2 linked regions of the Sus scrofa genome follow. The protein of the gene in region 1 interacts with the protein of each later gene in a biochemical or structural test. Links are inferred from orthologs where the notes say so. Each region holds a gene or a part of one and is shown on either strand. Other genes may lie near its edges.

Region 1 (3,077 bases):
CTCTTGCCTTGCGAAAGGCTTCCATGTGTGTTTTATCTTTAATCTGCCCTGCACGCCTGGGGACCAAGTGGGTGCTTTCATCTGCACCTGACAGATAAGGACACTGAAGTTCAGAGAGGCTGAGCAACTCAGCTTGGGTCACACAGAGGAGGTCCAGGCACCAATGTGGTCTCTGAGTCCGACTTCAGTGCTCAGCGCTCCCTTGGTGTGGGACACGGGGCCACCGACCCCACCCAGACCGTCTTAGAGCAGTGGGTGGAACGCGGTGGGCAGGGCTCCTGCTGCTGGAGCGGGCAGTGCCCAGGCGCCTATTCAAGCAGAGGGGGATGGGGGCGGGGACCAGGGCCACGGCCCTCCTTCCGCCTTTCCCCACAGGAATGATGGTCTGTGGGGTCACTGGTCTCCCCAGAATTCCCTCCAGAAGTGGTCCCTGAAATCCCCCAGGGCCTTGGACCTGGGGCTTTGTCCACCTGCTGGACCAGGGCTGTGCCCTCAGGGAGCTGCTGGAAGGCTCCCTGGGAAGGGAGTGGTTAGAAGCAGGAATAAGAGGAAGTGAACCCTTCTGCCTTTCCCTCCACGGCCATCACCGTCACAGCTCACGGCCTCCCTGCCCGGGTTGCACTCAGCCCGCACCGGTAGAATAGAATAGAGGGCGCTGCTTGCGAGGTGATGGTGGGTCTGGGTGGCCCTGGGAGTCTGGCCTGGAGCTTGGAGAACTGGGGGCTCTGGCTGAGACCTGGAGCCTTGAGTCGCCCCCTCCCTGCAGATCAAGGACCTGAAGCTCAAGGTGCTGGATCTGCGCGGGAAGTTCAAGCGCCCTCCCCTGCGGCGTGTCCGCGTCTCGGCTGATGCCATGCTGCGTGCCCTGCTGGGCTCTAAACACAAGGTGTCCATGGACCTGCGTGCCAACCTCAAGTCCGTGAAGAAGGAGGATACGGAGAAGGTCAGACCCTGACTTCACCCCATGCAGCCTCAGCAATGCCCGCCCCCCCCCGGAGCCCAGCCAGCAGGCAGAAGGTTCCAGAACCCCTGGGAGCCTGGGGGAGGCCTAAGGGTCCTGATCTTGGAGAAGAAAGACAGGGGTCCCACTGTGGGAGAGGCTGACCTCCTCTTACCAGTGCCTCTTGCGCATGGAGGCTGGGCTGCCCCCACCCCACGCTAAGTCTCTGATGTGGGTGGCCCCCGCAGGAGCGGCCCGTGGAGGTGGGTGACTGGAGAAAGAACGTCGAGGCCATGTCTGGGATGGAGGGCCGGAAGAAAATGTTTGATGCCGCCAAGTCCCCAACGTCTCAGTAGAGGTACCAGCGCCTGCCAGGCACTCCTAGGGCTGCCAGTCTAGAGGGCAGTGGGGAGGTGGTGAGCCGTGTGGTCCCGGGAGGGGGGCTCTCTTGGGGGCTTGGTCTTGCTCTCCCTCCACCAATGCCATGGACTCGTCATGCCTGCTTCCGGGGTGTTGGGGTGGCATCAGATCAGTGGTGGTATCAGACCTGGGTGCAGAGGGTCTGGGCCCTCCCTGGGGCACTGGATCTGAAACTCTGGGGTGGGGCCGGTCCCTGGTGACTCTGATGCAAGAGCTTAGAACCCTGGATTCCACGACCCCCAGGGACCTCCAGCCCTGATTTTTCAAAGTCGAAGCATTTTAGTTGCTTCCTGCAGGATCCTGCAAAGTGCCCGGACCAGGGCTTCCATTCGAGGACATAAGACCACCCTCTCTCTGAGGAAACTGCTGGAGAGAGCGGCAAAGTTAGGCCTCAGAGAGCCCTCAGTGGGCATGCTGAGGGGACATGCAAGGGCCAGGGGTCTGTCCGATGGCCCCGCCCGTCAGGGAAGCCTTCTGAAGGGCTGAGCACTGCCATGTGGTGGCAGGGGCAAGGAGGGCGTGCCTGGGCTCAGAGGTGGAGTGGACGCCTGGGCTGGTGCGAGAAGTCCCCGCTGGGGAGGTACCATGTGGGAGGGGTCTTGGCCCCCCCCCCCCGCGAGCTAAGGCTCATGGGAACCAATAGGACAGTGGCCCCCCCGGGGGCCCTGAGAAGGCCCGGCTGTGTGTGCCGTGGGTGAGGGGCTCAGGCCATGGGAAGCTGATGGTGTCTGTCCCTCTGTCCCTACAGGCCACTGGCCGAGCTGTGCTCTGGGCTCCCTGCACGCTTCTTCCTCCAGCCCCGCTCACCCGCATCTCAGCATCTCCCCCTGCGTTTCAGAGGGTCCCGCTCTGCTCCCCGTCTCCCCTCCAGCCTGAGCGCTCTCCTGCGGGGCTGAGATAACAGACTCCTGAGGAAGAACAGCGGTGTGCCAAGACCTCGCCTGGCGGGAGGGATCCCTGGGGCTCCTGGCCGCTGTGGGGCAGCCAGGCCCCGGGAGGGGCTGCCCCCTCCACTCAGCATGTCGCGTGCCTGAGGGCGTCACAGCCTCTCCATTAAAGCAGTGTCCTGGTCGTTTCTGCAGCTCTGGCTGTGAGCACCCGAGGGGGACAGGGAGTGTGCGAGGGAGGCTGTGCTGGGCTGTGGGCAGGAGCTCGGCTCAGAGTGCAGGGTACCCCTTGTGTCCAGTCCAGTGACGTCACACAGCACAGGCTCACCCCAAACGCTCGGCTCAGCAGCCTGAGCTTCGGCCGTCAAGGGGGCCTCTCCCTTCCCAGCCCAGCTGCTGCTCTCCCAATACCCCTCCTTCGCAGAGCCGGCTCACCTGTCCCCGGTGTGGGGGTGCTGGCATTCCTGACTGTCTGGGGACACCCTGCAGTACTAGGCCTGGCCACCAGGCAGCTTCTTCCTCACGATGGGCAGTTCCGAGCTGGCCCTGTCTGCCTTTATCCACCTCCATGCTCCCAAAAGGCCACTGCTTTCAGGGTGGATTCTGTCCCGAGGTGGGTGGTCGGTGGTCTGTCCTCTAGGTCAAGTCCTTCTATATCCCCCTGACATCTGGGCCATGCCTGAGATGGATGCAAGCCTGCTGGGGTGGAATGGGGGGGGCCTGGGGGCCCCCTCAACAGCTCGGAGGACTCCGGCTCCTGTGAAGCAGAGACCAATGTCTGGGCCAGAGTGTGGCCTGGTGGTCCCGGGCAGTATCACGTGACTCCTGAG
Region 2 (4,471 bases), on another chromosome or scaffold:
GTTCCGGGCTCGGTCGCCGCCGCCGCCCGGAGCAGACTGGCAGCAGCAGGGGGCGGGGTCAGCGTCCCACCGCCCCCCGACGGCCCCCGCCCCCCGCCCCACGCTGCTCACCAAGCAGCCATCTTGGACCGGCCGCCTCCTCGCGCCCCGCCCAGCTCCGCCCCTCGCGCGTAATTGACAGCAGCTGCCAATGGCGCGCGTGCGCAGGCTGCCCGGGAAGGTCCACTTGCGTAATCTGTACCTGCCTGGCCCCGCCCGCCGCGCTCCTAGCAGCGGGGGAGAAACTGAGGCTCCGGGCGGGAACTGCTCTGGGAATTGCCAGTCAGTGCCCAGGAAGGAAGGACCAATGGCCCCGCACCTTCCGGCGTACCTGAAGCGAGTCACTGCTTCGCTTGGTCTCAGTTTCCTTCTCCAGAAAAGAGGCAGTGGTTACCTCTCACCTTCCTCTTGGGCTCATTCCCAGTTGAGCACAAGAAGGCTAAAGGAGAAGAAAAATTGGGGCTTAGAATGCAAGCAGGACAGAATAATTGTGTCAGTTCTTAACCTCTCCAAGACTCAGATCTATGTCACATGGGCTTCCAGAGAACTGAGTGGGCTAGTCCACGCAAACGCCTGGCAGGCAAGGCAGGGAGCTGGTGTGAGTTCTGCGAGAAGGTGTTGAGTTAGGTGGAAGCAATGGCTATGTGCTGGCCATCTGGCACAAGACCCCCGCTGGTGTTCTACTAGAGCTCAAAATGAGGGGGCGATAGATTGGCTCTGGACCCAGGAACTGCAGTACTGGAGCACAGGCAGAGAAGGAGCCTTAACCCAGGGGAAGACCCAGATCTAGAAGAGAGAGGTGGTAAACCAACTTCAGGGGAACAGTCTTACACAGATGGGGCATCTGTGAGGGTGAGTTTGTTGAATGATTGATTGAATGCAGTCAAGCCCAGAGCTAGTACTTCTCTCCCTGGGGAGATGAGAGGTCTCAGGCAGGGCTTCTCTGGCACCCTTGGCAGAAAGGCTCCAGCCCATACTCTCCTGAGGTAGGTCAGTGCCTTCCTTCTCCACTAGTACCACAGCACCGTACTCTGAACTTGGCATTCGAGGCTTCTCTGAGGGTTCTGCTCTCCCACCCTCTCCTTACATAGTGTTGCCCCTGCTCCAGAGAGGTTTAACCTAAGTTAGGAGCTGCCACGTCAGCCAGACCTCAAGCAAGTCCTTCCAGGAGCCTCACCTATTCCCTTGATTGGATAGGGGTTGAGCTGCTGTGTATAGGGGCCTCACCTCCGGGGCAGACAGGAGCTGCAGTATAGTGGGCCCCAGGCGAGGCCCCTGTACACAGCTCCCGTCTGTCCTGGGCTTATGTTTTCATTTTTTCAAAAAACTTTTCTGGAGAGTCCCTGGGGAGATGGAGGACAGAGGGAGAGAGACCTGGTCCTTATAGCCCTTCATCTTCTCCTTGCCCTGGGCGGAGGACACAGGGACTCAGGCCAGTGTGAGATCACCAGGTCCAGGGGAGGGAGTGGAGGATACGGCAGGCAGGGGTGGGCTGGGCCGGGAATGTGGCGGGGCAGGGCTATTTAAGCCGAGGGCCGCTGCTGGCAACCTCAGCAGCCTGCCCTGTGAGCCGCCAGTATGGATGACATCTACAAGGCTGCGGTGAGGGATGGGCCTGGGCAGGGCTGGGGTGGCGGGCCCACAGGGGGCTCATTCAGCTCATGATGGGGGCAAGGTCACCTGAAGGAGATGGTGGGAATCCAGGAGAGGGACCACGTACTTTCAACCCAGGCCCTCAGGGGCTGGTGGGGCTGGCATTCCAGGGTGTGGAAGGGGTGAGGAGTTTAGGGTCTGTGGGTAGCTGTCAGGGTGGGTGGAGGAAGATGTCGCAGCTTTGGCATCATGTCTGCCCCTGTCTCCAAATGTCTCTAGTCTACGTCACTGGTCTCTGGACTTTTGCTGTTTCTAGTCTCTTTCCATCTCTTTGTTCCTTCCAAGCTCTCCCTCTGAGGCTCTGTTGCTGTTTCCCTGTCCCCACCTCCCCCACTGCTGCCCCTCATATTCTGCTTCTCACATGTCCACAATCCCCCACCCCCTCCAGCCCCTTGGCTGGCTGCAGATGCTGTGGAGAGTGGGATAGGGGTTGTGAGGAGGGGGCTGGAGAGCTGGAATCCTGAGCTGGAGAAGGGGCTCTGAAGTTTAAGGCAGGCAGGGAGGGACTGGGCATGGGGGTGGGGAGCTGGGAAGAAGGAACAGAGAGCTGAGGCCCCAGCCCGCATCCAGCTCGGCAGGCTCCGGATCAGTGGCTTAGCCAGGGGTAAGGGCTGGAGGGTGGTCACTTCAGGTCCCTGCAGGGCCCACTGAGGGGCTTCAGATGTGATTCCATGCCAGCAGGGGGGTGTGTTACTGACCTCCTCCCACCGTAGAGACAAGGACATCTGACATGGACAGCTGCTCCCAGGGGAACCCCTCCCTCAGCCCGGGGAAAGGAAGGGGGTGCCTCTGCCTATCCTGCAGGAGTCCATGGAGCTGGGGGGGCAGTCCTCCGCCCCATGCCCATACAAGGCCTGGCGGGGCTGGGAACTAATTTTGGCTCCTGAGGCTCCAGCAGGCCAGGGGGCTAGATAACGCTGCCCCACCCCCTGCATGCCAGAGTCCCCAGAACAATCACCAGGTTTAACTTTGTCCCCCGTTAAAAATAGCCCAGTGGCCACCCCGGTCAGGTTACAGTGGGTGGCTTTGCCTAGCCCCACTTTGGTTTTATTGTCCCAACCTGAGGGACAGCTGTCTCTTGGGCCACCCAGCTTGGGTTTCAGCCGGGGGTTGGGGGTGGGGTGGGGAGGGCGATGACTATTGTTACTCAGGGTCACCTTGGTCGTGGAAGGGGTTCCCACCTGTCACCCTGGCCCTGAGCCCAGTCTCAGTGAGGCTAGCCAGGTCACCTCAGGGCTTTGGGGGGCAGGGAGGGAGAACTGAGGCCTCTTCTGCTCTGTGACCTGGGAATGGCCTACCTCTTCCTGGCTTTAGTCTTCCCAGCTATGGAATGGGTTGATTTCCTCCACAGCAGCGAAGGCCTGAGCCTGAGTCCTGAGACCTCTTTTCCTCTCTAGGTAGAGCAGCTGACAGAAGAGCAGAAAAATGGTGAGTGCTCAAACACGCATGTAGGGGAACAGCAGGGCTGGGCTGGGGGAGTAGGAGGACCCCAGGCTGGAGGCCAGAGGCCAGAGTCCCTCTCCCTCTGACTTCAGATGTCAGAGGGAAGTGGGTAGGTTAACAGGTGGAACTAGAGGTCTGACCTTCCAGGTTTCTGGCTGTTGAGCCCTGGCCGCTCTGTTTCTCCTCTTCCCCTACTGGACAGAGTTCAAGGCAGCCTTTGACATCTTCGTGCTGGGCGCCGAGGATGGCTGCATTAGCACCAAGGAGCTGGGCAAAGTGATGAGGATGCTGGGCCAGAACCCCACACCTGAGGAACTGCAGGAGATGATTGACGAGGTGGATGAAGACGGTGAGCCCCCTCCCCTCCCCACCCAGCCCCAAACCCATAGCACTCCCAGCTCACTGGGACCCTGAATCCTGGATTGCTACTTATTACTCTGTGTCCTTAAAGGAGCTCTTTAGCCTCTCTGAACCTCAGCCGTCTCATGTATAAAATGGGCCCAAGGACCACACAGGCCTCACAGAGTTAGTGTGAGGATGCAGTGAGAGCACTGGGGTCTAGTGTCAAGGGCAGTGCCAGCCATTCTGACCATCCTTCTCTAATGGCTGTGCCACACCCCTCCCTCCAGGGAGTGGCACAGTGGACTTCGATGAGTTCTTGGTCATGATGGTTCGGTGCATGAAGGATGACAGCAAAGGAAAGTCTGAGGAGGAGCTTTCTGACCTCTTCCGCATGTTTGACAAGTGAGTGTATGACCCTTGACCTCTGACCCTAACCCTAGCAGAGCTGGGGAGAGGGGGACAGTCTTGTGACCTCAAGGCCTCAGTCTCCCATTCTGTACAGTGAGGGAATGGGATGCGCCACCTCCCAGTGGCCCTCCCCTGCCTCCCGGGGTCATGAGCAGGGCTGCCTCTTCCCCTCTCTGTGCCCCCATCACGGGCTCTGAGGCTCCCCTCACCCATTGGCAGAAACGCTGATGGCTATATCGACCTGGAGGAGCTGAAGATAATGCTTCAGGCGACAGGCGAGACCATCACAGAGGATGACATCGAGGAGCTCATGAAAGATGGTGACAAGAACAATGATGGCCGCATTGACTATGACGGTGAGTGGGGGTGCACTGAATCCCTGCTGCCAAGAGGCCAGCACCGATCCACCTCTGACCTATGCTCGCCCCTCTCTCCACAGAATTCCTGGAGTTCATGAAGGGGGTGGAGTAAACACCGACCTTCGTTCAGAGCTGCCTGTACCACCTTCCAACTCCAGCCCAGCCCCGGGGTTGGGGGCAGGGAGCCAGAGTCCCCAGGATATGAATTTGGGTATGTGCTTGACCAC

The links.
Region 2: the proteins of TNNI1 (region 1) and TNNC1 are reported together in a solved structure, tested with the Homo sapiens proteins (2 studies listed by BioGRID, with this or other methods). The link is inferred for Sus scrofa from reciprocal best matches to the Homo sapiens genes TNNI1 and TNNC1.

The regions. Positions count from the first base shown.
Region 1 is NC_010452.4:23,787,643-23,790,719, reverse strand, and holds the end of TNNI1 (troponin I, slow skeletal muscle), read left to right. Parts: intron 1-766; coding exon 767-943; intron 944-1,188; coding exon 1,189-1,296; 3' UTR 1,297-1,298; intron 1,299-2,108; 3' UTR 2,109-2,441; downstream 2,442-3,077. UniProt on the Homo sapiens protein: Troponin I is the inhibitory subunit of troponin, the thin filament regulatory complex which confers calcium-sensitivity to striated muscle actomyosin ATPase activity.
Region 2 is NC_010455.5:34,591,458-34,595,928, reverse strand, and holds TNNC1 (troponin C, slow skeletal and cardiac muscles), read left to right. Parts: upstream 1-1,608; 5' UTR 1,609-1,617; coding exon 1,618-1,641; intron 1,642-3,089; coding exon 3,090-3,120; intron 3,121-3,337; coding exon 3,338-3,484; intron 3,485-3,764; coding exon 3,765-3,879; intron 3,880-4,104; coding exon 4,105-4,241; intron 4,242-4,324; coding exon 4,325-4,356; 3' UTR 4,357-4,358; downstream 4,359-4,471. UniProt on the Homo sapiens protein: Troponin is the central regulatory protein of striated muscle contraction. Tn consists of three components: Tn-I which is the inhibitor of actomyosin ATPase, Tn-T which contains the binding site for tropomyosin and Tn-C.